Regions from separate parts of the Mus musculus genome. Here regions 1, 2, 3, 5 and 6 are each reported to be linked to region 4. Evidence: microRNA targets listed by miRTarBase, many of them from high-throughput screens and not tested one by one. Region 4 holds a microRNA gene; each other region holds the end of a gene's coding sequence.
What was found. Region 4 holds the annotated microRNA mmu-miR-467g (UAUACAUACACACACAUAUAU, at 2,518-2,538, shown strand). A microRNA usually pairs through its seed, bases 2 to 8, with sites in the 3' UTR of a target mRNA and lowers its output. Matches are read on the target gene's strand: a 7mer-m8 pairs with bases 2 to 8, a 7mer-A1 pairs with bases 2 to 7 and ends in A, and an 8mer does both.

Region 1 (5,075 bases), not on the chromosome of region 4:
TCTCAGCTACTTCTTCAGTGCCCAACCTGCCTGCCTGCTGACACGAGCCCTGCCATAATGGCAAGGGATTCGTATCTTTCTAGAGCCGGGAGCCAAAGCAGTGCCTTCTCCAGGTTACCTGCCTTATGGTGTTTACCACAACGAAAGAAAAGTAGCTAATAAAGAGGTTTCAATTTAGTGGCTTGGGCTCACCTATGAGAAGCAAACGAAAAATCCAGTAGCTTTGGGTTTTCAGTAGCAATTAGAGACCACACAATACTTGCACTAGTTAATGAAATGAATCTCTTTCCAAATCTCTATTTCATCAAAAATTACTTTTATTGTTAAAAAATTCACACATTAAAATCCATTCTTTTGTTGCATAATTCTCTGAGTTTTAACAAACACATACACATTGTAACTATAAATAACACAGAGAAAGTTCCTATTATTAAAAAGAAATCCCTTGTGCCGATACTTGGTGTCTACTGCTTTTTCTGCCTTATTGCTTCATCCTTTCCAGAAAACAACACAAATGAAATATAACAGTAAGCAGCCGTTTGAGTCTGGCTTCTTCTACTTAGCAAAATACATTTCAGATGTATCCAAGTTGTTGCATATATGGTTCCTTAGTTTGTTATTGCTGAGTAGAATCTTGCTGTCGGGATACACCAATTTCTCTATCTCTGCACCAGTTGAAAGGTACCCTCGATTAGATTGTCTCCATTTTTAAGTGGTCTGCAGGTCTAGCAAGGAGGAGGTAAGGCTGCCCACCTGAGAGGAAGCAGTCCCTTCCGGGAAACCTGGCTGAGAAGTGTAGCCCAGGGTAACATGTGCAAGAGGCTGTAACCAGGGTGGCTCCTTCACGTCCCACCCCTTAAACTCTAGGAGAAATTGAAGTGTTAATCGCGTGAGCAATATAGCAAATGAATACAAGTTTGTCCTGAGTAAAGTCAGAAACCCTCAGAGTAGGTCTGACTAATATTTTGGAAGCCAAGTGTTTGTAAGAATATTTAAAAATTACTTTAATTAAAAAGTAGTGAAAAAGGTAAAAATCGCTCCAAATCATACCACCTAAAAATGTTTCCAAGGTGGAGGTGTTTTGTTTTTAGCTTGTACGGAGTCACTTGCAGAAGGTTTACAGCCCGTTATATACATTTCCTATTTTATTCCTATATTTGTTTTGAAATTATCTCTACAAACTATACACATGAACTATTTGCTTAAAAATGTGTTACATACATACATACAAACATACATAAATACATACATACATGTATCTTAGCTTATAACTTAATATAAAATCTTGGATATGAGTAGAGGTCACAATATATTCATAGATCTAGTCTACTGTTTTAATGGCTTCATAATACCCAACTAAATGGATGTGCCATCAGTTAAAAGTCACTCATGTTGACAGGTGGACATTTGGATAATGTCCAAGTTCCTATGTTTTTGAGTTTCACTGAGATTTAATTCACATACCACAACATTCACCCACTTGGTATGTTCATTGTTATACAACCACTGATGTAATTTATGAACACTCTAGCTTTTCTTGCCTACCATTTATTACTACATATATATGCACTTTTTAAACCAACTCTGTACTTGACATATATATGGAATTGCACATTTTGTCCTCACCAGTGACTGGCTTCTTTCCCTGAACATACTCTCAGGGTTCTCCCATGTGGTGGTATATCTCAGAAGTATTCCTTATTTTCTTAATAAACAGCATGTGAAGAAACTGGATTACTGTTTTATTAAACATTTAGTAGAACTCTAGATTTCAAATCTAAAGCAACTTAAGTATAGGTATTGTTGTGGCTTATCTGTCTTGTGACTTCTTTAACCTATTTGTTAGTAGGTCGATTCTGGCTTCCTATATTTGGTTCTTGGTACTTTATCTTTTTAGGGATTTGTTCATTTTTAGTAGGTTAATCTATTGACACATGAGTACAACAGTACTCCCTCACACACCTTCTATTTTTCAAAGGTCAGTAGCAACATTCCCTCCTTTATTTCTCAAACTAATGATTACATTCTACCTCTTCCTGCTGTATGTAGCAAAAGGCTTGCCAGTTTCTCGCTTGGATTCCTTGCATTTTCTCTCTTGTACTCTATTCTCAGGCATTTTGCATGTTTTCCCCTTTTTGTTTGTTCTAGGTGTAGTTTGCTATTATTTTCCTATGGCTTAAGATATGAAGTGAATTACTGTTACACGGTCTTTCTTCTCATTGAATAGGCTTATCTCTAAGCATATCCCATATATAGACAAAGGTAGCTGGGAACCATCAGTGTGGATGCTGAGGATCAAACTCAGGTCCTCTGCAAGAGCAGTAAGTACTCTTATGCACTGAGCCATCTCTCCCGCTTCTTTATTGACCGACTTGGTCTTTAAGTTATCACTAATTTTCACTTATCTGTGAGTTTCCCGATTTATTGGTACTGATGTGTAACCTTCTTCCATGTGGAAGAGAACATGTTTGACAAGACTTTAGTCCATTTGTATTTATTAAGGCCTGTTTTGTGGTTCAGTTCATGATCTAGCCTAAAGATGTTTCATATACATGGGATAAAATATATATATTCTAGTAGAGCTATATTCTAGAGCTGTCTTTCAGATCTATCCAGCATCCAGTGCTGAAACTGGCTACTTCCTTGTTTATCAACTGTGCAGCAGTACTTGTATTAGGAAGGAGACACTGAGTACCCACCAGTTTGGAGATGTGCCTGTTTCTCCTTTCATTCTTTACTTTGTTTGCTACCTTGTTTCAGGTTATTTGAGGGCTCTGTAGTTATGAAAATATGTGATTAAAATTCTCACATCTTAAAACACCAACCTTTTAAACACAAAGTGGATCTTTATCTCTAGCATTTTTGTTTCCCTTTCCTCAGCCATGCGAACTCTTTCAACACACTGTAGGGCTAACAGAACAGTACAACTACCAATATAATTCTGTTACTTCTAGGAAGCAGAATTAGGTTTACAGCCTAGTAAAATTTAGCCACCTTATTTCCCTTTTGTTTTATTTGTTCCTATGGATTTACAGGATTTTTAAAGAAACTATAGCATTATTTCCCAGCCTTTTTGTCCTATTATTGGCAGGTCTGAGGGTTTGAACTCAGGTCTTCCTGTTTGGTGGCAAATGCCTTTACTCACTGAGCCATTTCACTCGACCTTTTGTAGTATTTTATGCTTCTTTCTCGCTTTTGAATGAAATTCTTATTATATGTTGTTTGATGTACTTAGTGGAGTACCCTAAAGTTCATTTTTCCCCTTGTTATAATATAATATAATATAATATAATACCTTGGATATTATAATCTCATTTAACCCTTACTCAGGGAGGTCAGAAGCAATGTTACTTTTTATAGATGAGATAAATGAGGCTCAGAGTGAGTGACTTTCTAAGCTCAGGATGGTAAACATGGGTGACTTTGAGGGTCACAGGTCTGACTCCAAAGCTGGTTCTACCGTCTAAACCATTTAGGTTCTTCTTCTTCTTCAACAACTATAAACGAATCACTAGGGAATTTGAGGCAGGCTGCCTTTCCTCTAAAGAACTTTCTTTCCTGTCCCTTTAATATAGATGCTAGTTCATTTGTCTTGAAAGTTCATACATTAGACAGATACTCCATGTTTAATGGATATTGTTTTGAATGCAATAGTATCATAGACTACCAATATTTTGGTTTAAAAGATGTCATAATAATAAATATGCTTTTGAGGACTCTGAAAACTTAGTGTGGAAGCAATCATTAAGTTAATAAACTTATGAATCTACCTACTGAAACTGTTGAAGGTTCTGACAAAACACAGTTTGAGTTCAGTAAAGAAATATTTTAACACTGGGTTAGTTTTAAAACTTCGTATACAGGAAACACTCCTAGAAAAAGTCTTATCTCTAGGACTAAACACTGAAGACTACAAAATTATTAAAGGATTTTTGGGATCTTTAGGAACAGTCCTATGTAATGTATCCTGAGAATTAAAGGTTTTCACATGGTCTTACCCCTCAGGGTATTTTCTGCCATATATAGTGTTTCATTATTATCTTTAACACCCAGGATATTGTCAATTTTATACAATCTTTTTCAATACTATACAGTATTTAATTATAGAAAATACTTTTTAGGGTGGAGAGATGACTCAGAGGTTAAGAGCACTGACTGCTCTTCCAGAGGTCCTGAGTTCAATTCCCAGCAATCACATGGTGGTTCACAACCATCTATACTGGGATCAAATGCCCTCTTCTGGTGTGTCTGAAGACAGCTACACTGTACTCACATACATAAAATAAATAAATATATCTTAAAAAAAGAAAATACTTTTATCAATTCTCTCCAAATGCTGAGAGCAACTGTCCTAATTTCTTTCTTATATTTCCTCTTCAATTTTCAACAAATTTTTATGAATTTACATATTCTTGATCTAAGAAATGAGAAAAGAAAAATCATCTGAATATTCATTTACATACATATATCCAAATGTGCATGTACATGTGTGTAGATACGAATTCCTAGCTGCCATTGATTTCTGTTCTGCCATCAGGAGCAGATGTTATAAGGGAAGAGCGCTGAACAGCTGACTGTTGCTTTTTGCTCTTTGCAAACTCTATCACCAATATTTTCCCATAGAGTTTATATCCATTAATTTGGTGCAGTGCTTGCCATGCTATGTCTTTATCTGGAAAAAAATAAGAAACATGCATCAAATTATATAGTGCTTAATCACTCAATTATATTACAGGGTTAATTTGGATTTGTGTGCTATAAAAAATCATAATGATGTTTGATGTTTTTGTCGTGCCTGCAATCCCCAGTTTGTATAAGTAGTCAAGATTAAATTAATGGGCAATAATAGTGACAAAAGGCCAGCACCGGGTGACCTTGGGCGTGGAGTCAGTGGACAACCAGAAGGTCCCTAGAGGACTCTCCACTCGATCTTAGGACCTATGGTGAGTGGAACACAACTTCTGTTCCAATCCAATTGCGCGGGACCTGAGACAGCACTAAAGAAGCAGAAAACCCGGCCTGACCAGGGTCACAAATCCTTCCGGTCACCACCAGCACCAGGTCACCTGGGCGAG
Region 2 (5,075 bases), not on the chromosome of region 4:
ACGGGGCGGGGGCGGGGGAGGGGGGGAGCGCCGTACAGCCGAGGTACCCAGGTATCCTTGCTCTAACTCTCCCCGGCTTGCTTCCTGTATAGGTCTTAGTCCTTGGTAACAAGCGAGACCTCGCCGGAGCGCTAGATGAGAAGGAGCTAATCGAGAAAATGTGAGCTGAGTGGCCTTTCTTTGTGTGCTTCAGCTCCCCCAAATTCCCCAGCTGCCGAAGGCTTCTGGGCTGGGCTTGTTGCTGTTCTTGGTGTTTACCACATGGTGGCAGCAGAACGTATCTTTCCCAGAAGCCTCGCCCTCCTCTTGTAGACCTTTTACTGAGAAAAACACCCTGCCCTTCCCTGGTCCCTTAACTGCTCCAGCATCCGCTGACTCCTCTCTGGTCTTCCCGCAGGAACCTGTCTGCTATCCAGGACCGAGAGATCTGCTGCTACTCCATATCCTGCAAAGAGAAGGACAACATAGGTGCGTGGCTTGGGGAAGTTGCTGGCACTCTGCCAGGAGTGGCTGGGCTGAAGGGAAAGATACTTCTGATGCGGTATCTGGGAAGTCCATACCGAGCCACTTTGTCCTTGGGTGCAGCAGGCAGCTAGGAGGCCCCAGTTCTGGGTGTTACCCTAGCCCTGCCCCCTCTTCCACTTCTGAGATTGGTTAGAGCAGGTATTCCAGTCCCTTCTTTGCTAGCTGTGGCTTTGTGTCTTTTATATCACTAGCTTGGAGCTTTTGGTGCGGGGGGTGGGGGTGGGGGGGGGTGGAGCTGGGGGTGGGGGGTGGGGGGGGGTGGGGTCACAGCTCTAAGCTTGATCCAGGCTGCCATTGCAGGAACCTGGCTTAACTGTTCATACCTCCCAGGCCCTTCTCACACAGGGAGGCCTTACAACTTTCTCTCTTGTCTCCCCTCAGACATCACCCTACAGTGGCTTATTCAACACTCAAAGTCACGGAGAAGCTGAGACTGTGGCTCTTCTTCTGACTAGGGACCACAGTCACCTAACCTGAAGCCGAGCTCCCCGCCCACCCTGTTGTCTCTCCCTAAGCCCACTCCTCCTCACCCAGTGTGGGGAGGGCCCTCTGGGGCTCCTAGAGCCCTATTCTGCTGAGGTTTCAACTCCTGTTTTTATTGTAAAATAATTGCCCTCTCCCCAAGTCTGGTCCCCTAACCTCTCTCCCTTGCTCTCTTTTTCCCTTCAGCTACCCCACTCCCCTCCCTGTCAACAGCCCTGGCCCCGCAAGCCCTCTCCTCACTCTCTGCCCCACCCTCCTCTTCCCCTTTCAACACTCTGTTATTGTCCTGTGTGTACAGTATATATATGTATATATATTTTAATTTTTTAATTTAAGCAAAGACTAAGATCAACCATTTGATGCTGCAGGGGCCAATCGGGACCTGGGAGGGGCAAACTGGAAAGGCAGAGAGAGATGCAGGGTCGATGTGGGGCAAGTTCATATGCAGAAGAGGGGAGACTGCCACATAGGGCAGTGGTTGTCCCCATGTCCTGTAAAGTATCTCTGTCTCCCAGTGGAGGACCTGAATTTGAAGGCCAGCAGGAGCCTCCTTTTCTGTCCCCAGCCTTGATAGGGCCACCAGGTACAACCAGGTCTAAGAGGGAGGACCAGGGTCCATGTCGTCCCAGCAACCCCCACTGTCACTGTTCCTGGCCCCAGGTCCTGCCCCTACCCAGGGTCCCCACCTCCACGGCCCATCTCATTTTCTGTTCTCATTTCACAGAGTTGTACAAGGAGAGAACTCAGCATGGGAGGGTTGGTTCTTTGGTTTTGTTTGTTTGTTTGTTTGTTTGTTTAATTTAATAATTTGTAAAGTGATGTTCCTCTTCCTTTTTACAGTTTTCAGCTCATATTTAACCTCTGTTTGGAAAACGATCCTTGTAACTGTACATTTTTTTTTTTGCCTCCTAATAATGACAACAATAAATTACCAATTTTGTGTTGGGGGGTGTGTATGGTGCTGGTTGTTTCCCACAGATATCACCGACCAGCGGACCCACAGGGGCATGAGCACCACTACACATCATACACAGGGATGACCACAGGGTGCCACACCTACAGGGAACACATACTCACGCTCTCTGGAAACACAGTGGCCTATCACGTGTGCTCACACTGGGACAGCAGCCCACACGTGTTTCTGGGCCCTGCTTGTTGTCTGCTTCTCACTCCTGTACGCTGACAGCTGCCAAGTGGCACTAAGCAGGTCTGTTAGAGGAGCTGCCCAGACCTGGGCCTTTCATGTGGCATTCAAACTGAATTGCTCTCCATCATAAACACTTAAGCTCATGGCCCCCTCTCAGTCTACACCTGCTTGTTCCCATATAGCCAGAGTGGAGCCAGAACAGAACTCTGCATCCTCTCATCACACTCAGTGCCCACCAAGAAGAAATCAAATGTCCTCAGGGGTATACTGGGCCTGCAGAGTCTTCCTTTGTCATCCTTGCTGTCCATGCTATTGGTCTCTTGGAAAGGACCCAACCAGGGCTGGAGAGATGGCTCAGCCGTTAAAGGCTAGGCTCACAACCAAAAATCTAAGAAAAGGACCCAACCATTTGTTAACTCGATGGATAGAATTCCTACCCTGCCTGTCTAGCTGGAGCTCACAGCCTCAGTTCTTGTGGGCCCTCCTTGATCCAATGTGAATCCAACCACAGCTAGTTTTATACTGACCCTCGATCTCTTGGGTCCCCCTCCCCCACTCCCTGTTCTGCCTCCCCTTTGCCTGGAAATAGAGACTGGAATGTTCCGTGTAGAATAAGCAATCTCTTCACCCTGCATCTGCAGTAAGAAACAGCCACATCTGTCCTTGGTTTGTGAGAGGATTTGGGTGAGGCCACTACTCAGCCGTGAATATATCCAGCCTGGAAGAGGATCTCTTATTGCTGGGGGGATTTGAAGACAGGGTCTGGAGATTTAGCTCATTGACAGAGCGCTGATGGAGCATACAATAGACCAGGCCCTGGCTTCCATTGACTGCATGGGGGAAAAAGATTTGAGGAAAAACTGGATGGTGTTTGCTGCTTCTCAGGAGCTTTCCAACCCCTTACAAGGATAAGATGCACCCCCTAGGGGCTGGAGAGATGGCTCAGTGGTTAAGAGCACTGATGCTTTTCCAGAGGTCCTGAGTTCAATTCCTAGCAACCACATGGTGGCTCACAACTGTCTGTAACAGGATCCAATACCCTCTTTGGTGTGTCTGAAGACAGCAACAATGTACTCACATATATAAAATAAATCTTTAAAAAAAAAAAAAATGTGACCCTTAGTTGGGAAGGAGGATGGGCCCAGGCTCTGTCTTTTGCCTTGCCTGCTTCAAGGAAGTCGCTGTGCTTCTATGCCTATATCTGGAGAGGACCATTGTTCTCAGCCATTGAGGATGTTGCAGCACTGAGCTGCCGCTTGGGTCCTGTGTTCTCCAGATGCGATTTGATGATGAGCCTGTTATCACTGCATGCAAAATCAGTACCCTGCACAGTGAATTCATACAACAGGCATGCAGCGGGGGCTAAACAACCTGTTCTTGGATAGGGAATAAACTATGGATAGTATGCATATAAACCTACATGTATAAACAACATCATGGTTGGGTCCTCTGAGGGCAAAAGTAGATGAGTTAATATCTGGCCAAGGGGCTGGAGAGGTGGCTCAGAGCATGTACTGCTCTTCCAGAGGACACAGGTTTGGCTCCTAGGACATGTGTCAGGTGACTTCTGACCTATGTGGGTACTGTGTCCATGTGCACATACTCCACACACATACACATGATTAAAAATGGTAAAAAAAAAAAAAAAAAAAAAAAGTAGTTTAAAAGCAAGTCTAAGCCGGGCGGTGGTGGCACATGCCTTTAATCCCAGCACTTGGGAGGCAGAAGCAGGCGGATTTCTGAGTTCGAGGCCAGCCTGGTCTACAAAGTGAGTTCCAGGACAGCCAGGGCTATACAGAGAAACTCTATCTCGAAAAAACAAAAACAAAAAAGCAAGTCTATTCCATATTGCTAGAGATTTGAATCCCAAAAGGCACTGAACTTTGCCAGATGCTTAGAACACCATCCTCTTCCTCTTTAACAATGGGCATGGGTCCCAGAGCTTGGAGCACACTCGGCAAGGAGTCTACCCCTGGGCTCCAGCTCCAGCATATGATGCATCTGGCCTCATTTAATGACCATAGGCCTCTGTGAAGGAGAGATCGTTCCGGTTTCCAGAGTGAGAAGCTGAGACTGAGGTTGAAGCAGGTATACTCAGGGCCCAGGGTGACGGGTGGAGCCGAGACAGAACAAAGATAACCCGTGGGGAATGTCAGGGGATGCCTCTCCCCTGGCATCGGGCTCCGAGGACTGTGGATGTCATCATCTTTTTCCTGAGCATCCCAGCTCAAAGCCACTGCCCACCCTTGAGCAACAACCCCTCCCCCTGAAGCCTGGGACCCCTGAACAACAAATCCCACATTGTTCCTTGGCTGGCTCAGGCTGGAGGGATAGTGGCTCTTTCCCAAGACTGGCTGGACTGCTGACTAGCTTTGCAAGCCATTCACGTTGGCAGGCTTGGAAGGTGGCAACGGGGTAGGGTCTAAGAGCCACCATCTCCCGCCTCCCCCCTCCCATTCCCCTTCAGCTCTGGGCCAGCCAGCAGGCAAGAGGGAGGTCCAGAGTGTGCCCTTTGTGGAAGAGGCTACCAAACAGGATGCAGAACCCACCCCCACCCCACCCCACCCCCTAGCCTTCCACTCTCAATCCTCTCCCTGCCCCTGACTTCACCTCAGTTCACCCGGCCAGTTAGGAGCTATTGGTGTGTGCAGGGCTGGGGTAGAGGGAAGATAGAAGAAAGCATATGCTGGCTGGTTCTGTTCAGAGACATGGGCCCACCTTTGCCCCCTCTCCAACTACCCACACACTCAAAGTTCCTAAACACAAAGCCGGAGAGTTCGGTCACTGTAGCAACAGGTCTGCCGAGAAATGGGTGGGTGTCATTTTCCAGCACAAAGGGTGCACATGGCAGCTCCATCACTTAGCAACAGACTCCCTCTCTTGGCCAGCATCGCTGGCCCTGGGGGGTGGGTGCCAGGGA
Region 3 (5,075 bases), not on the chromosome of region 4:
ACACACAGAGGAACTGAGAAAAGGAATGTGAAGGCAAGAAGGACGAGAAGACACTAACCCTTCACATCAGCTTGATCCCAAGGCTCAAAACATACCTTGCTGTTATGATGTGCGCAAAGCAAGTTTAAGAGTTGTGTTTGTTTTTCAAGGAAAAACTATTTTTAAGGACTTATTTTTTGTTTTTGTTTTTTGTAAAAATATGTCTAGGTATGTATGGATGTACAAGTGGCCAGAATCCAGAAGAGTGTTTTGGATCCCATGGAGCTATTTATAGGTGAGCTGTGAGCTGCCCAGTGTGGGTGCTGGGGGTTTGCATGCTCTGTGAGAGCAGCCAGAGTTCTGAACCACCGAGCCCTATCTCCAGGCCTCAAGTGCCAAGCTTTCAACAAAACGATTGGAAGACATGCAAAGAAAGAAAACTGTACTGAACACTCCCCACAGAAACACTTTAAATGGAGGGTCTCAAGTGTGTTCAGAGAACAACAGGTTTTGATGTGAGAGCAATCAGGAAACCAATATGTAAACAAGCAGTGTTGGTGCTGGAGAATTTAACAGCAGGTTTAAACCAAGAATCCGCAACTCTGATTTCGGTTCAACCATACAGCACTGTCAGATGTTTTAGCACTGACACACATTCCTACCACGGATTATCACCAACTCCGAAGGCTTAAAATTGAATAAGGAGGAAGGGAAGCCTGACATAAGCAATTTAAGTTGGGACTTAAACAACACTATCACACAGTCAGTACTACCTCACAAGTGACTAAGGGATGGACAGAGACTAGTTGACTGAAATGCTTCCAAATCAGAAGACAGGCATGGATCTGCAAACACAGGGAATACAATGAGCTCTCAGGATGGTTAAGACTGAGACATACATACTGTCACAACACTATCAAAAACTAAAGGTGAAAAAGGACTCTTGAAGGCATCAAAGCAATTCACTGAAGAGAAAGGATCCTAAATATGATTATCAGTTAGCTGGGTGCAGTAGTACACATTGGTAACCCTGTCATTGGGAAGCTGAGGCAGAAGAGTTGCAGGTTTAATGTAGGCCTGGTCTATCAGTGAGGCCCAGGTTACCCTGGGCTACTTAGTGCCACTGTCTCATAAAAACAGTTAATTTCTCAGCAGAACCTTTGTAGGCCCAAAGGCAGTGAGGTGATATATACATTAATGAAAGGAAAAAAAAAATGTCCAAACACTATCAACTAAAAATTCAGTGTCTGGTGAAACAGAATTATCCCATAGAAATAAAGGCAAAATTAAGATTCACAGACAGTGGGCTAAAGGAACTGATTATAACTACTACTGCTATGTAAGAAATGATTAAGATTGCTAAAGTGGAAATTTCTAAGTTTCTTCGGAAAGTCAGTTATGACAAATGATTTTTTGCTGGGGCACACAGATAAAAGAATATCTCGCTAAAGCAGGCATGTGAAAGAATGTTTTCATGAAGCAGACACAGGTGAAAGGACACATGATGAAGGAGTATAAATATGATCCCGCACACAATGAGAGCAAGAGCGTTGGTTTGGCTTGCTCTGCCTAGCTACTCTTCACTAATGACACACATGTATTAGTTGGCCCTACATATTGTTGTTGAGCTCCACTTGTGGTAATGCTGCCATTGGAAGAGGCTCACCAAAGAACTGCTCTAATTCTTGCTGCTTCCATAGCCTCGGACCAGTTGGCAAGCCTTGTGGTTTCCTCAGGACTGAACTACAGATTGTTATCTGCCTGCCAAGAGGACCGGACGGTAGTTGCTGATTTCTGTTTGGTGTTTGCTATGGGACTGAACGGGGGACAAAGAAGATCAAGCTCACCCCTAAAGGGCTAAAAATTATTGCTAAACAGGTCTACTTCCCCCATCTCTAATAACTTTTCTTTTCTGCTACCTCTAGCAGGTGGTGGGCAAGAAGAGAGGTTGAACCCTTATTACAATAGGCTGCAAAAAAATTGTGCCTACAGATTGCCCTTGAACTTTAGATGAAAAGATGCTAGAGAGCAGTAAAAAACCACAATACAAATACCTCTGAAAAGGCATAACTAAAAATCCCAGCTTAAGGATCTGGCTCAGTGGGGCTGGTGAGATGGTTCAGTGGTTAAGAGCACCGACTGCTCTTCCAAAGGTCCTGAGTTCAAATCCCAGCAACCACATGGTGGCTCACAACCATCCGTAACAAAAATCTAATGCCCTCTTCTGGAGTGTCTGAAGATAGCTACAGTGTACACACATATAATAAATAAATTAATTTTTAAAAAAAAAGAATTGTCAAACTTGCTTTAAAAAAAAAAAAGGATCTGGCTCAGTAAAAGTGTTTGCAAGACTTGAATGTGATCCTAGATTGGATCCCCAGCAACAACAAATATAAGAACAATTATGTAAAACCCAAGGATGGAGAAGATGTAGATGAGCTGTCACGCCATCTGTAATCCCAGCACTTAGGAGGTAGAGGCAGAAAGATGAGGAATTTAAAGCTATCCACTCATGGATAGCAAGTTAAAGGCCAGCCTAGACTACATGAAAACTTGATTCAAAATAAAAAAATAAATAAAACCCATATTTACTGTAGTGTGCGTACAACATTTAAAGATATAGCTTTTGGTGTTAATAAAATTACACAGGAAAGACAACATAGCTGTAAATATAGCTGTCCTGTCAAAGTCAAGTTGGGCCAGGCATGCTATGTAATCACAGTATTTGGGAGACAGAGTCAGGAAAAAAAGAAACAGCCTGGGCTGGACAATGAGTTCACAGGCCAAAGGCCAGTCTGATCTACACAGTGAGGTCCTGTTTCAAAAAACAGTTGTTACAAATTTTAAATAAATTGTTGTATTTTATAAGCGGAAAAAAATAAACAACACACAATTATCATATGACATAGCAATTCTACCTCAGGGTCTATACACAAAAAATTAAAAACATACTTGAGCAGGTACTTATATATTCATGTTCACACCAGTATCAATTACATGGACAAAAGGTGGCAACAATCCAAATATGCATGATCATATGAAAGAGTATACATACACACACACACACACACACACACACACACACACACGCACAGACATACATAATATGGAGTATTAGTCACCAAAAGGAATGAAACCTGATATGTTATAACATAGATAAATCCTGAAAAGAGTTGTTATGAAGTAACCCAAACACTAAGAGGCAAATATACAATTCTACTTATATGAAGTACAAGAATATTCAAAATCATGGAGACCAAAGCAATATAGTTGAGTAGGTGCCAAGTAATGGCGGAAAGCAATCATGACTTGAGAGATACAGGCTCGGAAGACAGTACTGCATACCATCAGATGAAGAAGACAATGACATAAAACAGTACAGCGCAGATGGGACTTGGGGTTCGAATAAGTAACGTTTTTAACAAGATGGCTGACTTTTACCACAGTGGGACTACAAGTGGGAAACAGGAGACTGAATAGAGTTAGGTTCAAGTTAACTTTTGGGGATGGGAGAGTTAAGTGGGTGACAACAGCATATACCAACATGAAATAAACTTGAGCCATAAAATTTTAAATGTTCTCAGCTTTCAGACTAACTAATGTTGGAATTTATCTATGAAAAGGAATACAGGACCCCAATCATATATTCATATTTTAATATAAATTTTATGAACAAAACAAAGTTTAAGTGAGTGTACAAGGTGAGGAACAAGGATCCGGTCAACTCCTGCATTTCCTTACTCCCGCCCCTTTTCAGTCAGTGTCATCTAGAAACTTGGTGGCTGGCCAATAAGTTCAGAGTTAGATATTGATTTTGAAAATAGTTTATTTCTAGAGTAATTAAAATATGGCTGTGAATCTAGAAAAAATTGTTTAAGTGTGTAATTTTTAGAGTAATGTCACTTAAGCACTAGAGTTTATGTTCAACTTTGTGAAAATCCAACCAAATTAGTCTTTATATTTGACAAGCTACGCCAGGAGGAAAATTTGCAATTTAAAACACTTTAACTCAAAAAAGTTTTATAATTGGTCAAGCCCTTGTGCAGCACATATACCCAAACTGAAAATACAGTACATACATTAACATACACATTTTTGTGGCTGGCCTCATTCATGAACCAATCAACTGTATATGGTCTGTGTTTATTCATCCTTACAATTAAATAGGCAGAGAAGAAAATATTTTGCTTGGGATGAAACAAGCTTTTGATTTTTCAAAAGTGATACTACTACATGGGTATAAAAGCTGGCAAACTCAAGTATCCCATAACTTGGTTTCAAATCCAGACAATTTAAAGACAGCTGGAGAAATACCTAATGAATTTGATCCATCCTTTCCCCAAAGCATTACATACAATTAAAATACAGTAGTATTTGTATGCCAAACACTACAAATCGGAAGATGTTTGGGTAATGGGAAGAGAACTCTTCAACAACTATTGTTTGCAGTTTGCAGAATAGGATAATCTTCTCTAGGAAGAAAAATGTCACATAGCAGCACTCTATTCACCAGGAATGTGCAGAGCTGACAGCTTCCTCATGTAACAGGAAACCAAACCTTCTGGCTGCTCACAACATCGCTGAGCTTCCCTTTAATCTTCAGGAAGTGTCTCTTGAACTCTAATCCATCACCCTATTTTAGGAAAAATATTTTAAAAATATAAAAAAGATTGTATCAAAAAAGCACATTCTCATTCCTGACCAAAGAAACAAACACCCTTAACTATGTCCAGTTCTTCTTGCCTCCTCCTCTCGGTTCTTTTCTGAGAATACTGGATTGCAGGTATGCACCAACATTCCAGCTTAGTTATGCATTCCATATAAATCTGACTTGTTTGAACAGGATTTTATAACAATTTATGGGTTTTACTAGAGAAGAAACCTTTAACTATATCAAAAATCTAGAAAAGAATTATTTCAACCAGTCTCCCACATACAGAACATGAATTACTCTTCAACCCTTTCTAGAACCACACATGAACTATCAGAAAACAGACATTATATTGATTTTAATACAGAATAGACTTTTAAACTAAAAATAATAGGGGAGCAAAATGGTATTAATCACAAAATCTGTGAAGTTCACTATATTATAA
Region 4 (5,075 bases):
CACAAGGAGAGACCCATGGCTCCAGCTGCATATGAAGCAGCGGATGGCCTTGTGGACATCAATGAGAGGAGAGGCCCTTGGTCTTGTGAAGGGCCCCAGTGTAGAGGAATGCCAGGACAGGGAGGTGGGAATAGTTGGGAAAGTGAGCAGGGGGAGAGGGGATGGGATAGGGGGGTTTTCAGAGGGAAATGAGGAAAGAGGATAAAATTTGAAATGTAAATAAAGAAAATATCTTTAAAAAAATTTAAAAAACCATGTACTTGACAAAATTGGAAAATCTGTAAGAAATAGATAATTTTCTCGATAGGTACTACTTACCAAAGTTAAATCAAGATCAGATAAACCATTTAAACGAACTTATAACCCCTTAGTGAAATAGAAGCAGTCATTAAAAAGTTTTCCACCCTAACAAAACCCAGGGCCCAATGGTTTTAGTACAAAATTCTACTAGACTTTCAAAAACAGGTAACAACAAAACTCTTGAAATTATTCCACAAAATAGAAACAGAAGGAACACTGTCCAACTCATTTTATGAACTACAGTTAACCTGATACCCAAACTACACCTAGACCCAACAAAGAAAAAGAATAACAGACCAATTTTCCTTATGGACATAGATGCAAAAATATAGACTTCAAAAAGACATAAAAAAAGATAATGCACCATAAACAAGTAGGTTGCATACTAAAGCTGCAGAGATGGTTCAATACATGAAAATCAATAAATATAATCTACTATCTAAACAAATTGAAAGTTAAAAAACAAACAAACCAAAGAACATATAGTCCTCTTATTTCATGCACAAAAAAAAAAAAAAAAAAAAAAAGCCTTTGACAAAATCCAACACTCCTTCAAGAATCAGTATAGTGGTTCCTCAGAAAGATGGGAAATTATCTACCTTAAGATCCAGCTATTCCACTATTGGGCATATACTGAAATGACATTTCATCCTAATACTTGCTCAACAATATCCATTGCTGCTCTACTCATAATATCCAGAAATTGCAAACAGCCTCATCAAAAGAATGAATAAAGAACAAGTGGTACATTTGCAAAATGGGGTATTACTCAGCTCAAAATAAGAAAGGAAGGAAGGTAGGTTGGTTTTCAGTCAAGGAAATAGAACTAGAAAAAATCATCCTAAGTGAGGTAATCCAGACCCAGAAATATAAATATGTATGTAATTTGTTATATTTGGATATTAACCATTGAATCCATAGGCCCAGAGAGGTTAGATATAGTGGCCAGAACTGGGAGAGACACATTAGATCTCTTTGGGAAGGGACAATAAAAGAGATTTTATGGGTGGACTGGAATCAGGGGTTGGGAGGTTGAATGGGAGGATCATATGGAAAAGGGACAGGGAAGATGGGATAGAAGAAAGTTATCAAGGGGAAAGACATTAAGAATTGGAGATTATTTGTGGGGCAGTATGGAAATCTAGTGCAGTAAAAACTAACTATATGAAGGCAATCCAAATGAAGTCTCCAAATAATGAGGGAGTCAGAACTCTTAATTGCCATGTCTTGTCACTAAATGAAGCTTCCAGTGCTGGGACTGGGTATAATCCAGTTGAGCTGTTAGCTAAAAAGGTCCCATGGAAATCACCAAACAACTCAGGCTGTTACTCAGACAATTGGTTGCTCTCCACAAATTGACAAGGGCTCATTGCTGAAGACAATACCTACACAACTCATTGAAAATGGAAAGATCAATCTGATGCCTACATAGGACCTTTGCTCCCATTTTATAATGCCTATGACATAGGAAAGTATTCTGCAGGGTACCAAAAGAGAAAAGCAAACAGCAACTCAACCACAAATCCTTAGATCTACAATGGTGACACAAACTCTGTGGGGGTAATCAGCCTATGTCTGATTTGACGTAAGGCCTATTACATAGCCATACCCAAACCCAACACTGATTGTGTCATCAAGAACCAGAGTCTAGATATCATAGAAACCTAGAGTATAACCAAATATCACTGGTCAAAAAAATTAGTAACAATAACATGACTTCTAATGATATTCTGCTATAGTCACAGTTCAGTGCCTTTCAGTCATCACCACAAGGGCTTTTTCCTACAGCAGATGGCAATAAATGCAAAGAGCCAAATCTCTCTCTCTCTCTCTCTCTCTCTCTCTCTCTCTCTCTCACACACACACACACACACACACACACACACACACACACACACACACAGAGCGAGAGAGAGAGAAGAGAGAGAGAGAGAGCACTAAACCAGATATCTCCATAAAATCCCTCCCCTGAGAGCTTAGAGAACCCCTCAGAAGAGGAGGCAGAGGAATAGGGGAATCAGAAGAGAGAGTGGACACCAGGAGAACAAGGTTCTCTAAAACAACTGGGCAAATTTCATATGAACTCACAGAAATTAAAGCAGCAATCAATCACAAGGCCTACATGGGTCTGCACCAGGTCTTGTGCATGCATATATATATATGTGTGTGTGTATATATATATACATATATATACATACATACACATGTATATGTATATATACATACACACACATATATATATTCATGTATATATATATATATGTATATTCATGTATATATATGAATGTAATGAGGCCTTGTTGTCAGTTTGTGGAGAGCAACCTACTGTCTTGGTAACAGCCTGGGTTGTTAGGGATTTCCATGATACTCTTTCAGTTGACAACTCAATTGGATGATATCTAGTCCCAGCATTTTGCGGGGGAATATATATAATATATATAAATATATAACTTTTATATATTTATAAATATATAAATAAATACATGCACATATGCATATATATAAATAAAAGTTTTCAGTTTAGTACTTTTATGAAATTTATGAATATGTAAACAAGTGGGTCTCTGATTCTTGTGCCTTCTCTTGGGCCTCTTTCATTTTTTTCTGTTGGCTTAGCTTGTCCAACTTCAATATGATAGTTTTCATTTTATCTTATTATATTTTGTTTTGTTATGTTTTGTTATCTCCCAGAAGCCTGTTCTTTTCTAATGAGAGACAAACAGGGAGTAGTATATCTGGATGGAGAAGAGTGGGGAACAAGTGGGAGGAGCAGAGGGAAGGGAACTGTATTCAACTGTATTTAAATTATACTGTATGAGAAAAGAATCTGTTTAATAAAAGTAAGGAAAGAAGCCAGAGATAGTGGCACAAGCCTTTAATCCCAGCAGTCAGAAGGCAGAGACAGAGTTCCAGGCCAGCCTGGTCGACAGTGTAAGTTCCAGGACAGCCAGGGCTACACAGAGAAACCCTGTCTCAAAATAACAATAAAGGCAGGGGAGAGATGTCTATTAGATGTGTGTGGTAGTGCTCACCTTTAATCCCATAGATCACCATGCCCAGCTTCCCCTGACCCCCCAAAATCTTGTTTTGTTTTGTTTTTTTAATTAAACTTAGAGCTAATTGTTGTTTTCCAACAGGAAGACTGAATTGTTGTGTTTGTTTATAAAGTATCAGAGTGATAATTAGCTTTATTAAGTGCTATTTTAGGGGCAGGAAAGATGGCTCAATGGGTAAAAGTGCTTGCCTTCAAGCCTGACTAATTGAATTTTGTGAAAGCAGAGAACTGACCCACTTGAATTGTTGTCTGACTTTTACATGCACTCCCTTAGGTACTCATATGTACAGATACATGCACATAATAATAAATAAATGTAATATAAATATTTTTTAAATTAATGTTTTAATGTAGCATTATTGTTATGGCTTAATGAGGTTCATACACTTAAAGTAAATTAAAAGCTAAGTCTTCCCTCTAGGTTCTAAGCCCTAGGACACCTAGAAGGTATGGATAAGGTCCACCAAAGTCATCTTTCACTTACCCATGTAGCCAACAGTACCAACTCTTCCTCGTACCATCTCCCCTTCTGGGACTTCCATAGCTAGACCAAGATCTGAAATTCGGATGTGTCCTGTGCAGGTTCACACACAAAGTACAGATCATTGGGAAAAGTAACATTTTAGTGACAATTTATAACTGCGAGGCAAAGTCCATCTAAAACGTATTGATGAGGGCTGGGGATATACCTCAGTAATAAAACCCTTGTATATGATATATAAGGCTTGTGATTCTATCCCTAGTGATAAAAACACACAAAAATGTATTAAAAATAGCAATATCTAAAAATTATATTTAACTTTTACATATGTAATGTACTTTCATATAGCACACTGAGTTTCACTAACAGCAAGAAATTATATTTATACCTAAAGAAGCCCTTTAACAGTAAATCACCACTAGATAAAAACCAGAGGAACCATATTTATTATTTACTCATAACTATCAGTTAAGCTACTTCACTTAGAGAACTGTACTGTTCAAATGTTTTGGGTATAGGAAGGCATAAATGTTGGCTACAGTCCTATGAAAGTAACTAATTATGGAAAGTGTTCTTCTAAGGACCCCTATCATAGGATTTAGACTTACCCTCATAAGACACCTAGTAAACTACTCAATGTATTTCAATATAATTTGTTCACTTCCCTTCAATGCCAACTCTAGATACCAGTGCAGCATAACCCAGCACAAATCACAAGTTTAAGAGTTGGAAGCAGTCAAATTACTTCTTAATTATTCCATAAATGAAATTTCAAGCACCTTTCTTCTTCATTGGGGTCAGTACATAAGTTAGGTAACGAGCAGAAAGCAGTGGCAGAAGTAAATATAAAAGCTAAGTCTGATAATGTCCCATGTTTGCCTTCAGTAATGAGCTACACTAGCCTATTCTTTCCAGGAATCACTCTGGCTCTGGTTTATGTTTCCTACTCCACAGAAAGATCCTTTTAGCTATTAAGAATCACTAATCATAAGCTCCTTCTCAAATTGCTAACCTACTTAGTGTACATACAACCAGCATCCTAGCAATAGGGCTCACTCTCAGATCCAGAGATACCAATGTCAGAGGCACCCATGATGCTGATAAGGAGCTATCACATCATGACCAGTCCCCATAACAGCATTCTACACCCCCACTCTGTGACAATTGATATATGATAAGGGGACAGCATAGAGGGCAGCACGCCAAGTTTAGAGGGCTAAGGAATAAAAATAAATAGAG
Region 5 (5,075 bases), not on the chromosome of region 4:
CCTTCTCTGGGCCCATCCAGTTACATAATCAGCCCTGGGCATTCCTCGTTCTCCAATAGAAAGAATTTATGTGTGCAAGTGATGCAGCATATGAAGTGTGTGTGCGTGTGAGAGAGAGAGAGAGAGAGAGAGAGAGAGAGAGAGAGAGAGAGAGAGAGAGAGAGAGAGGAGAAACTTTTCAGAACCTTTGGGACTGTGACAAATACTTCGAATGAAGACAAAATGCTTCTGGGCCTTTGGGGAGTGGCGTTAAGTGGCTGTCTTTGGTAAATATTTCACCCAGAACTGAACCAGAACACTGAAGAAGAGAGGGTTTAGGCTTAGCCACTCCCTTAGGGGCTGGCCACATCCTCATATCAGAGGAAACAGTAGCCCTAGTGTTACAATGTCACCTCAGGGCTGTCACTCAGAGCATCAGGTACCTTGCCTGTAAAGATCTTGATGTCTCTGCTAATAGTTTTAAAGTTATAAAGTCAAGAATCTTTTCCAACTGAGACCTTACAAAGCCTGTCTAACCGTTCAGTGTATACAGACTTGGGGAATCTATACTGTAGCTGTAAGCATAAGATGGATACCTACCAGTGTGGCTGAACTTTTATTAATGTTTATGCTTTCATTTGAACTCACTTCTGGTCCTCATGACTGTGTCCCAGACTAAAAATTACTTAGAACTCCAGTTTTATGGGACAGTTACCTGGTACACACAAGGCATAGACAAGACTGTCAGATTCCCCTGGCCTTAATTTATTAATGGGGCCACTAGAGGGACATCAAGTAAGAATTGGATTTTAGCTGAGAAGCATGGCAGATCCCAGGAGTCAGCCACAAAGCCCAGAGGCCCCTGGTGATAATGTGTTGGCTTTCTTTGGGCAGGTTCTGAAGACAGCCCACCGAAGCATTCAAGCAACCACGAAAGCCATTCTTCCAGAAGAAGGAACCGGCATTCTAAGTCCAAAGTCACTAATGGAGTTGGAAAGAAATGAAGGAAGCTAGTTAATGTCAGATGTTCCAGAGTGCCTAGACCCGAGAGGAAAACAGCATATTTGGACCTTCCTATGCAGAGATCATAATGTACGGAAAGAACCGAGGGAGCTTAGGGGATCGTGACTTGAGAGTGTAAGTCTTGTCTCCCATAGACCTGGACACACACTAGGCTGACCATGGCTCGGGGTCCTTTGCCAACTGGAAGAGTCTCTAAACTTCAGCGTATGGCCTGCATTCTCTGGTAGCAATACAGTGTGCTGGAAGGACAGGATAGCTGTTTATTCCCAGCTGCCAGCAGTGGCTCTCTGCTGGTGTGTCTTGTGGATGTTGTATAAATGTCTTCATTCAGATGTTGACTTAACTAACTGGCTAATGAACTGGTCGCTTGGTTTTATTTTTATGAGTCTGCCTGTCCATTTGATTGATTGTTTAAGTTCAGAGAGTCTGCTTTTACTTCATGTTTTTGAGTTAAATAGCTTCAAAGCTTCCAGAATCCACTGCTGAAATTGGGGGAGGGTTCCTTCTAGAGAAACAAAGGGTGGAAGGAGCTTTGGTGTCCCAGCTAAGCATACTCAGTCCCCAGCCACATGGCAGATGACCCCAGCCGGAGTGAAGAGGCTGGCTGCTGGCACTGGAGCCTCGGCTTCAGATTAGAACTGTTTTGTTCCCTTCCAGACACTGTCCAGACTGAGTGCACAAGAACGACCTTGCGAGCGGATCTGGGACAGTGGGGCTCCCTGCCAGGGTCCTTTTCCATGTGCTTGGTTTTTCCTCTGTGATGTTTTGCCTACTCTGTCTTTCTGGCTCATGTGAGGTGCTAGTGGGTATTAATTAACTTTCATCTGTGCCATGTTCTACTAAAACATTCTCCCTGTCTACCCTGGATCCTTGTTTTAAATATATCAGTTCACATTAAACAGCTCATCAATGATCTGTCTTTGTTAGAATGATGTTTCTTTGTATCTTATTAGTCTTTTAACTACTTGGAGGCAAGTTCATATTTTGCAGTTGACCTTAGGATAATATGTATGTATGTGTGTTCTATATGGTAAAGAAAGAAAAAAGAAAAAATATATTTTAAAGGGGCTTACACATATATGTCCTATCTGAACCTTCCAGAGTGATCCACAGGGAATGGAAGTGTATGCAGGGGCATTGTCTGTCACTATGGTCTTACTTACTAGGTTGGATTTTCTTTCTCAGACAAGTGGGCTGTAAAACAAACTTGCTACAAACAATCCTGCTGCTCACTCACCAAAGCACGATGATTTCTGTTTCTTTGCCTCCTTAAAGGGAGTCTTTGAACTATAAAAGTTATGTTTTATTTTGCTTTCTCTCTCTCTTTCTGTCCCTCCCTCCCTCCCTCCCTCCCTCCCTCCCTCCCTCCCTCCCTCCCTTCCTTCCTTTCTTTTTTGAAAAAGAATTCCCAGATGAGAGATTTAAATCAATCATGAAGAAAAACTCGACTCACCGTTATTGCTCTGGGTGAACACTTGAGTTAAGAGCCACCCACAGACTTGCTTTCTCAGCCAGCCACACATGTCCACTGGTCCACCCCAAGAGGCTATGGCAGGCCACAGCTCTAAACTTTGCCATAGTGTTCCATGAGCCTGTTTAAAGGGGAACAAAGAGGTACCTATCATTCCTCATCCCTCATTTTGCAGTTCTGGAATTGAACTTGGGGCCTCTTGTGTACTAGACACGGGCTCTGCTACTGAGATTTGGCTCTCTCCTCACATTCCATCAAACAAAACAGGCTTTTTTGGGGGGGTTTTCAAGACAGGGTTTCTCTGTATAGCCCTGGCTGTCCTGGAACTCACTTTGTAGACCAGGCTTGCCTTGAACTCAGAAATCCACCTGCCTCTGCCTCCCGAGTGCTGGGATTAAAGGCATGCGCCACCACGCCCGGCCAAAACAGGCTTTTATGAATATATTTATAACTTTTAAACATTGCTTTGCTTTGCAGATAGAAGAGTGTTTTATTTCTGTGCAATTTTGATAAGCCTAAAATTTTGTATTGCTCATATAGGTTGTATGAGGGTTTCCAAGTTTGTTTTCCAGGACAGTTCAGGGACTGGCACTGTGGGACTCATCTAGCGGGTAGGCCAACCCCTCTGAAGAGGCACATGCCCAACTTCTATAATTAGACAGAAAGTGCCTGTGGAGTGTGCAAGAATCAAAGCATACAAAGCATTATTTCTCTATGGCTTTGTAGGAAACAGCTAGGAAAGTCCTTAGATACTTTCCATGTGCATTGAATTCAAACTTTCATTTTCACTTTGAGAAAGTGTTTTAGCTACGGCAATGAGGAAACCAACACTGTGCATAACTGTGCCGTTTTCCCCCACACCATACCACTGGTCCTAGTCTAAGTTTCTGCCGACGTCTGGAAATTGACCCTAGGTTGATTGAAAGTAGAGCGTATGTTCCAGAGGTATCTGTTAGTGAGTGGTGACTATAAGTCATCTCATGACCCTCTTGAAAGATTGCTGGCTTTAAAGATACCACAGTTCATGGTGTAAAGCAGGAGGAGATTTTGAGTGTCTTTCTTGTCAAATCCTCTCCCTTTTGTTATCCTTGGTCCTTACAGGCCTCTCTCCTTTCCCTCATGTCCCTTTCACCTTTCACCAAGAGGCTTTGCCCACTTGCCCTCCCAGCCATGCTTAGATGTTCACTACCCCACTGAGGTTTTAGTGATACTCAGCATCTCGTAAATGCCAGCCTTTGCTGCAACTGCCTCCTAAGTGAACTTGGAAATCAAGGTCTCACCCAGGAAAATAAAATTAGTTCTATCAGTTCCAGCTTTCTTGGTTCCTACTTAGAAACCACTTGCTTTAGAGCATCCTAAGAAATAATACCTGCTTTGTTCAATAAGGCTTACCTTTTGAAATTTAGTCTAGAATGTTTGGAGGTAAATGGTGAATTTCCCAGCCTTCACAGAGTGAACAGAAGGGAGCCTGGGCAGAGGAAAAAAAGGTTTACCACTGGATGGGAAATAAGAAACTGGGCCTTTGGGGATAGACTGCAGTATACCCTCTAAACACTGGGTGCTTGGAACCCATTCGTTGTACTCGGTGACTGTCATGGGACTCCTGGGATCACCATATGTTTATTAGGTGAGTGTCACTTAAATATCTAGAAATCCAACAAGTGGACACTTGTACCTATGTATTTTTTATTTCTGTATGGAAAAAGACCTCTGGCTCCTGCATCCCAGCACCTAGTAGACCATCGCTTTTTTCTTTTTTTTTTTTTTTTTTTTTTACAAGGATGCATGTTGCTATGATTATATTTAAGATTTTGTTCTTTGCAGTAGATATTGGAGTGGCTGATACTGATGGGTCACAGTATTACTGCTCATCCAGAATTACTAGATTTTCATATCTCCCTTTATCACCTTTTATTCTAAACCTGATGATAAGACAGTCACAGGTAAAGGTTATAATATTTTTTTTTAGTCAGACTTTTGAAATTTGATGCAATAAATAAACATAGTAGCTTTTCAATTTTACTATCTTCTGTGGACTTAAAGTAATTTTGTTAGCATATATTGATTGTACGAAATAATATGTTTCCTTTCCATTCATGTATGCATTGTACTTAGATTATACTTCCCATCATTCCCTTTTGCTTTTCCTCTTACCCTGGTGGCCTCCTTTCTCTTCCCAAATAATTTAAAGGAATAATGACTAATGTCTACAAAAGAAGGGACAAATAGCTAGACTTGAATTGTTTAGCTTGAAGGCCTGCTAAATTGTAAAAGATCTTCCTTCTCTCTGATGTCTCCTAAAACTGTTCTTTGGTCCACTTTAAAATTTTCATCTGGGACTTTGTCTACCCTGCTATTACTTTCTTTGAATGTGTTGGACGGATTTAAAAGAAAAGAGAAGAAAATGACAAACAACAACAAAACAAAAACACAAGGGTTTTCTATGTATCCCAGGCTGGCCCTGAGATCACAGATGTCTTCCTTTTTCAGCCTACTGAGTGCTATGATTCCAGGCCTATAGAAACTTGAAGCTTCCTGACCTCTAAGGTGATATATTTTGCCACAGTCCCACACTGTTCAAAGGTTGCAATAGTCTAGGTCC
Region 6 (5,075 bases), not on the chromosome of region 4:
GTGCTCAGGTGAGGCATTCCTGTCACCTTCCTGCTGTCCGGGGCCAGAAAGGTGGGCCAAGGGTCAGCGGTAGGGACCTAAACATGGGCTCTTGCCCTTTCATGTTCCAGGATGTGGCGCTCGGACCTGCCTCGTGGTGGGTGCCTCCTTGTCTCTCAGTCCCTGGATCCTGAGCAACCCGTGCCAGAGTCTGGAGTACGCGCCCTCATGCTCACTTCCCAGTACCTCATGGAACCCTGTGGCCTGGGCCGCTCTCGCCTCACTCATATTTGCCGCGCTGACCTCAGGTACCAGGCCTGGGATGCCTGCCTCACCCCCTTGGCCCTGAGCCCATCCATTGCACTTACCCTATGTCAGTGATACCCAGTGTGGGAAAGACTTCCTTTCTCTCTTGGACGGAAACCCCATTTCTCATATCTGCCTGCCTCTTCCTCCCCAGGGGCCGTTCTCCTGACTGGTACAACAAAGTCTTTGGGCACTTGTGTGCCATGGAAGTGGCAAAGATCCGAGACTCTTTCCCAACCCTTCAGGCAGCTGGCCCGGAAACAAAGCTCTGAGTCTTAGGCTGACATTGCCAGGTGTCTGCCACCAAAGAAATGAGTGGGAATATGAACTGAGAAGCCTTTAGAGACACAGCCAGGCCTCGGTGGCCCAGCTACCTATCCTCTTGTATCCTAATGCTACTCTGCACACACACAAGAGAAGAGGGCGTAGGTATCCTACCTCCACCCACCTTCATCCCCGATACTGCATTCTGATCTCACAAGCGAAGAGAATCTTGTTAGTGGCAAGAAGATCATTGCTGTCCATCTGACCAAGAAGACGCTGCTGTATCTGGAGGCCCAGCAGGGGAAGAAGGTGGAGAGCCTTGGACAGCCTGGGCTCTCTGCCATACCAAGTAGGCAGGCCATCTTATTTGGTGCTAGGGTTCTTTTGAGTTTGAATATGAGGTCTGATCCTGCCTTTGGGGCCAACATTGATCCTGAATACAGGTCTGGAACACCAGATCGGGTAAGCACGGGGGACACAATGACCACCACAATCCATTTTATATGTGAACATGATGCTGAACTTTCTGAAGATTGACAGTGGCCCTATGGGCCCTTAGTAGGTAACATGACAAACTGGGATAACTTGGGATCTGAGGTTAGAGGACCTTTCTTCCTCAAGCCCAAGAAACCAATGAACCATCCTCCCCTACTTTGACCCACACTTTATCCATTACTCTCTAGAGTTGTGGGCAGCCTTTGGCCACTCATGGCCATAGATACAAGTGAAATAGCTCATTCCCATGACACAGGCCAGGCCAAAGCTGACAGTGGCAGCAAGAAATACAAATGTATCCTCATGCCTTTTGCCTACAGTGGTGGTCTATAAGAACAGTCCTTTTGGCTGGAGAGGTGGCATAGTGGTTAAGAGCAGTGGCTGCTCTTCCAGAGGACCTAAAAGTTCAATTCCCAGCAATCGCAGGGTGGTTCACAACCATCTGTAATGAGATCTGATGCCCTCTTCTGTAGTGTTTGAAGACAGCTACAGTGTACTGATATACATAATAAATAAATAGATAAATAAATCTTTTATAAAAAGCAAAACCAAGTGTCCTTAAAAAGAAAAAGAAAAGTCCATTCCTAGAGTAGACACCCTAGAAAAACACAAAGAAGGGCGTACCTTAGCCATCCTGGCTGATACCAGCCTGATCTATCCCATCTAGTGGTTATGTTTGTTCAGATAGAAACCGAGCAGCCATTCAGAGGCCAAGTGGTGCTTTCTTTGTCTTTGGCTGAGTAAACTGGATTGTGGTGGTTTGTAGCCATCGTTGTGATGTTAATCCTGTTTTGTCTGTGCCTATAAATACTGTACAGCCATAATATATATGTGTATGTGTATATATATACATATGTATATACCTATACATATACACACATATTTGCATGCACACACAGCTACTCCCTCTTGAGTGCGTTATAATCTCTGGATGGGAGCAGGGTCTGGACTAACACACTTCTGTTCTAACGAGAGAGGAGAGGTGAAGGGCAGGCCGCAGCAGTTCCCTCTGCAGAATAATAAAGCAGGACTGGAGATGCACACTGGCTCTGGAGAGTTTGTTTTGCTGAGACAATGGGCTGGGAGCTTGGGTTGCAACTCATATCCATAGGTCACAGATTGTGAGCTTGGACCTTACCTTCTGCAGACTCCCCAGCAAATGGTGTCAGGACTTGGGGTAACACCCTAGGGAAAAGCAAAGACCTTTGGTCTTGGGAAGGTGATTGTGAAGGCAGGCAGAGTTTGGAGAAGCCAAGCCTCAGACAAAAACTTCAACCTTCATTCCATGACTAGGCTAGGGTCCTGGATTTGAGCGTCAGTTTCCATCGTGACCTCAGGAGTCCATAACAGTTCTAAGAAGGGTTGTGCCTGCCTCAGAGCTTTCTTTCCACTCCTACACAGCCCAGGCAGAGCAAAAGTAGTAGGGGTACAGGCCTCAGGTTTGGGGGGTTCTATACCACATACACAACACTTAAAAGAAGGCTGCCTGCCTTGAGGCAGCAAAGTATTGGGATCTCTAAGCCAGGTTCTATTTGATCTCCCCCAAAGGAAAGACCTTTACCAGTTTGCTGTGGCCATAAAACTTCTAAGCTCTAGGCCATGGCCTGACTCATCGAAGCTGCTGTCATTTTGGACATTCTGTGAGAACTCTTCCCTGCTACTCTCAGTGAATGGCAGACACCCGGAGATGCCCCAGGGCTGCTGCAGAGGGCCCCTGACGTAGTAGGGTGGGCCCGGGAGATCATTCTAAGATTAAGGGGCATGGGGTTGTTTCAGGGGTGGAGCTTCAGGACTAGATCTCCTCGTACCTAATGCTGGTAGATGGAAGAGCATATTGGTTTCCTTAAGATAGGCGAGCGTTCGGTAGTTGATGATTTTTCATCTGACTCTTAGGTAGTAGAAGTTATCTCTCCAGTTTACAAGTTTGATCCTGCCCGAGTTGATATCACTTAAAAAAGAAAAAGGGAGAGAGAGAGAGAGAGAGAGAGAGAGAGAGAGAGAGAGAGAGAGAGAGAGAGAGAGAAAGACATATGAATTGCATCAAAACAATAAAAGTGGGCGTACTACCCCATCCTCTCCAAATGACATCTTCAGGTTCACCTTCTCACATTATTAGAATGGAATCACAGAACTGGACAGACAAACCCAATAGTTAGGATGATTGTTTTCCCATTATTGAAATCTGTGCTTCTGCTCAAAGTCTTCCACACAAGGGTTCCTGGCATAAGGCAGGAGATAGAATCAAGAATGAGTATGGTGAATTCCAACACGAACTGCCTGGTTCTGAGTTCATGAAAAGACTCTTCAAACATTAGGCAAGTTTAGCAGCAGCAATGACGGGAGCAGCAAAAACAAGCAAAAGTGGGGCAAGCAAAGAGGAGGTTGTCAGGATCTAAGTTGCTGTTCCAGAAACAAGGCAGCACGGTGTGGCATTCAAGTCTTGATACAACATGCTGTGAAGCCACTATGGTAAACTGAGTCATCCTGAAAGTTGATCTTATACAACTGTTGACTATATTAACTATATATAACTGTTCAACACATTTTGTACTTGGTACACAAGGAAACCCAGCTTTTATACCCTGCCTCTATGAGGTCAACACTGATGCCACTGAAAAATGACATTAGTAAATTATATGAGGTACTGGTATACATTGTGTATATTAAAAGAACTGTCAATCCAGGAAAAACAAAGCAAAGCAAAGCAAAGCAAAAGGAAACTAAAGAAAAAAACATCTAAGCTCCAGGGCAAAGGTCAAAAGAAAGTAGTCATAAAACTTAGATTTCTGAGCAATGCATGTATAGTCATTTTCGGAAGAATCACTGAGTGTGCTTAGGAAAATCAATCAGAGCTATGACATCACTCGGGGACAGAATCAGATCAGATTAATCAGTGTGCAGCTTATTTCTGGGGAGAAGGCTTAAATGGCACACCACCGAGCAGACTTTGGACTCCTGAAAGCATCTGCACTCACCAGGGAGTATTATTAGCCTAGGTGCAAAAGGCCTGCTGCCTGTCACAGCTCACCTTCATCAGAGCTCCAGTAGAGGACCTATGAATCATGCTCTGTCACATTCCTGGCTCCAGGAGCGTTCAGGTGGGAATCCTTCAACAGATATCACAACCAGCCACAGCCAAAACAGACTGGTCACCTCTATCATGACCTTCCCTAGTCTTGCTTCTACTCGCCAGGGCCTATCTTTGACTTTTCATCATCAGTGATGCTTGGGACTTTGGAAGAGAATCAGATGGGCAGAAAAACACTCAGCCTCCAGCTTTGGGGGGCAAAAAGGTAGCTTTGGGGTAGGGGGAAGCATAGCAGGGGTGGGCTTCCAGGACACATGGCTTGATTGTCAATAAGACAAATAAGATGGGGAAGATTTCTGGAAGAACAACATTCATCCAGCATTCTCTCCAGGGCCTCTGGTGCCCTGAGCTGGCTGCCAGGGTAGAGGGAGCCCCAGGCAGGCCATGTTGAATCAAAAGAACATGAGGTGGAAAAGGAGGCTGGCAGCTCAGGCTGCAGTTCCACATCAGGACCCCTCCCTCTCTGGTTTGAGGCCTTCTTCACAGGTACTCATGGTCCAAGTAACCCAGCAGGGTCTGTACAGCTGCACAGCCAGCCTGCATCATGCCTATCTGTGTGCTGCTGGTAATCCTTCCAGAGACACACCTCCCATTTCCCAAGCACCAACACTTCCTGTACGGCTTGGGACCCCCATGGAGCACCGAGCCTGAGAACTGCCATGCCAGGTGGTGCCAGGCTGCTGGTTCTCGGTCTCACTCAGTGCTCTCAGATCTATGAGCCCTGGAGGTTAAGGCGAACGACACATGTCCCCGATCAAGTGAATCCAAAGCAGATGGCTGAACTCCCTCTGAGGGTCACACACAGCCTCTGAGGTTCAGGAAGTGGGTGTTGGGAACCTCAAAATCATTCTTTCTTTCTAGCCCTGTGTCTTGCTTGCCTCACTCTCAGAGTCCTGATTCTCTCTTCTATGGATGGAGAGGACACCACCAGATGCAGAGGTCA

Region 1: the mRNA of Rbm41 is a reported target of mmu-miR-467g. Seed matches in the 3' UTR shown: 7mer-m8 at 4,460-4,466, 7mer-m8 at 4,274-4,280, 7mer-A1 at 2,548-2,554, 7mer-m8 at 1,246-1,252, 7mer-m8 at 1,242-1,248, 7mer-m8 at 1,234-1,240 and 3 more.
Region 2: miRTarBase lists Arl8a as a target of mmu-miR-467g. Seed matches in the 3' UTR shown: 8mer at 1,313-1,320.
Region 3: miRTarBase lists Chek1 as a target of mmu-miR-467g. Seed matches in the 3' UTR shown: 7mer-m8 at 3,077-3,083 and 8mer at 3,026-3,033.
Region 5: miRTarBase lists Ptdss1 as a target of mmu-miR-467g. Seed matches in the 3' UTR shown: 7mer-m8 at 2,008-2,014 and 7mer-m8 at 2,012-2,018.
Region 6: miRTarBase lists Stard8 as a target of mmu-miR-467g. Seed matches in the 3' UTR shown: 8mer at 1,897-1,904.

Annotation. Positions count from the first base shown.
Region 1 is chrX:139,941,232-139,946,306 of GRCm38, forward strand. Rbm41 (RNA binding motif protein 41) reads right to left here. Exons shown (of 7, transcript NM_153586.2): 7 at 297-4,672. The coding sequence ends at 4,506. Among named protein-coding and RNA genes, the nearest start is that of Rbm41, 55 kb to the right of the region's middle.
Region 2 is chr1:135,154,316-135,159,390 of GRCm38, forward strand. It overlaps Arl8a (ADP-ribosylation factor-like 8A), which reads left to right. Exons shown (of 7, transcript NM_026823.2): 5 at 93-160; 6 at 398-468; 7 at 907-1,953. The coding sequence ends at 956. Among named protein-coding and RNA genes, the nearest start is that of Arl8a, 10 kb to the left of the region's middle.
Region 3 is chr9:36,705,819-36,710,893 of GRCm38, forward strand. Chek1 (checkpoint kinase 1) reads right to left here. Exons shown (of 13, transcript NM_007691.5): 13 at 2,664-4,612. The coding sequence ends at 4,517. Among named protein-coding and RNA genes, the nearest start is that of Acrv1, 15 kb to the left of the region's middle.
Region 4 is chr5:34,730,335-34,735,409 of GRCm38, reverse strand. It overlaps Mir467g (microRNA 467g), which reads left to right and starts at 2,438; the gene lies at 2,438-2,557. Grk4 (G protein-coupled receptor kinase 4) reads right to left here. Exons shown (of 16, transcript NM_019497.2): 11 at 3,840-3,929.
Region 5 is chr13:66,996,095-67,001,169 of GRCm38, forward strand. Ptdss1 (phosphatidylserine synthase 1) reads left to right here. Exons shown (of 13, transcript NM_008959.3): 13 at 874-2,307. The coding sequence ends at 983. 4933433G19Rik (RIKEN cDNA 4933433G19 gene) reads right to left here. Exons shown (of 9, transcript NR_045851.1): 7 at 3,866-3,941; 8 at 2,456-2,594; 9 at 724-960. Among named protein-coding and RNA genes, the nearest start is that of 4933433G19Rik, 34 kb to the right of the region's middle.
Region 6 is chrX:99,072,644-99,077,718 of GRCm38, forward strand. It overlaps Stard8 (START domain containing 8), which reads left to right. Exons shown (of 14, transcript NM_199018.2): 12 at 1-8; 13 at 111-287; 14 at 440-2,085. The coding sequence ends at 557. Among named protein-coding and RNA genes, the nearest start is that of Stard8, 33 kb to the left of the region's middle.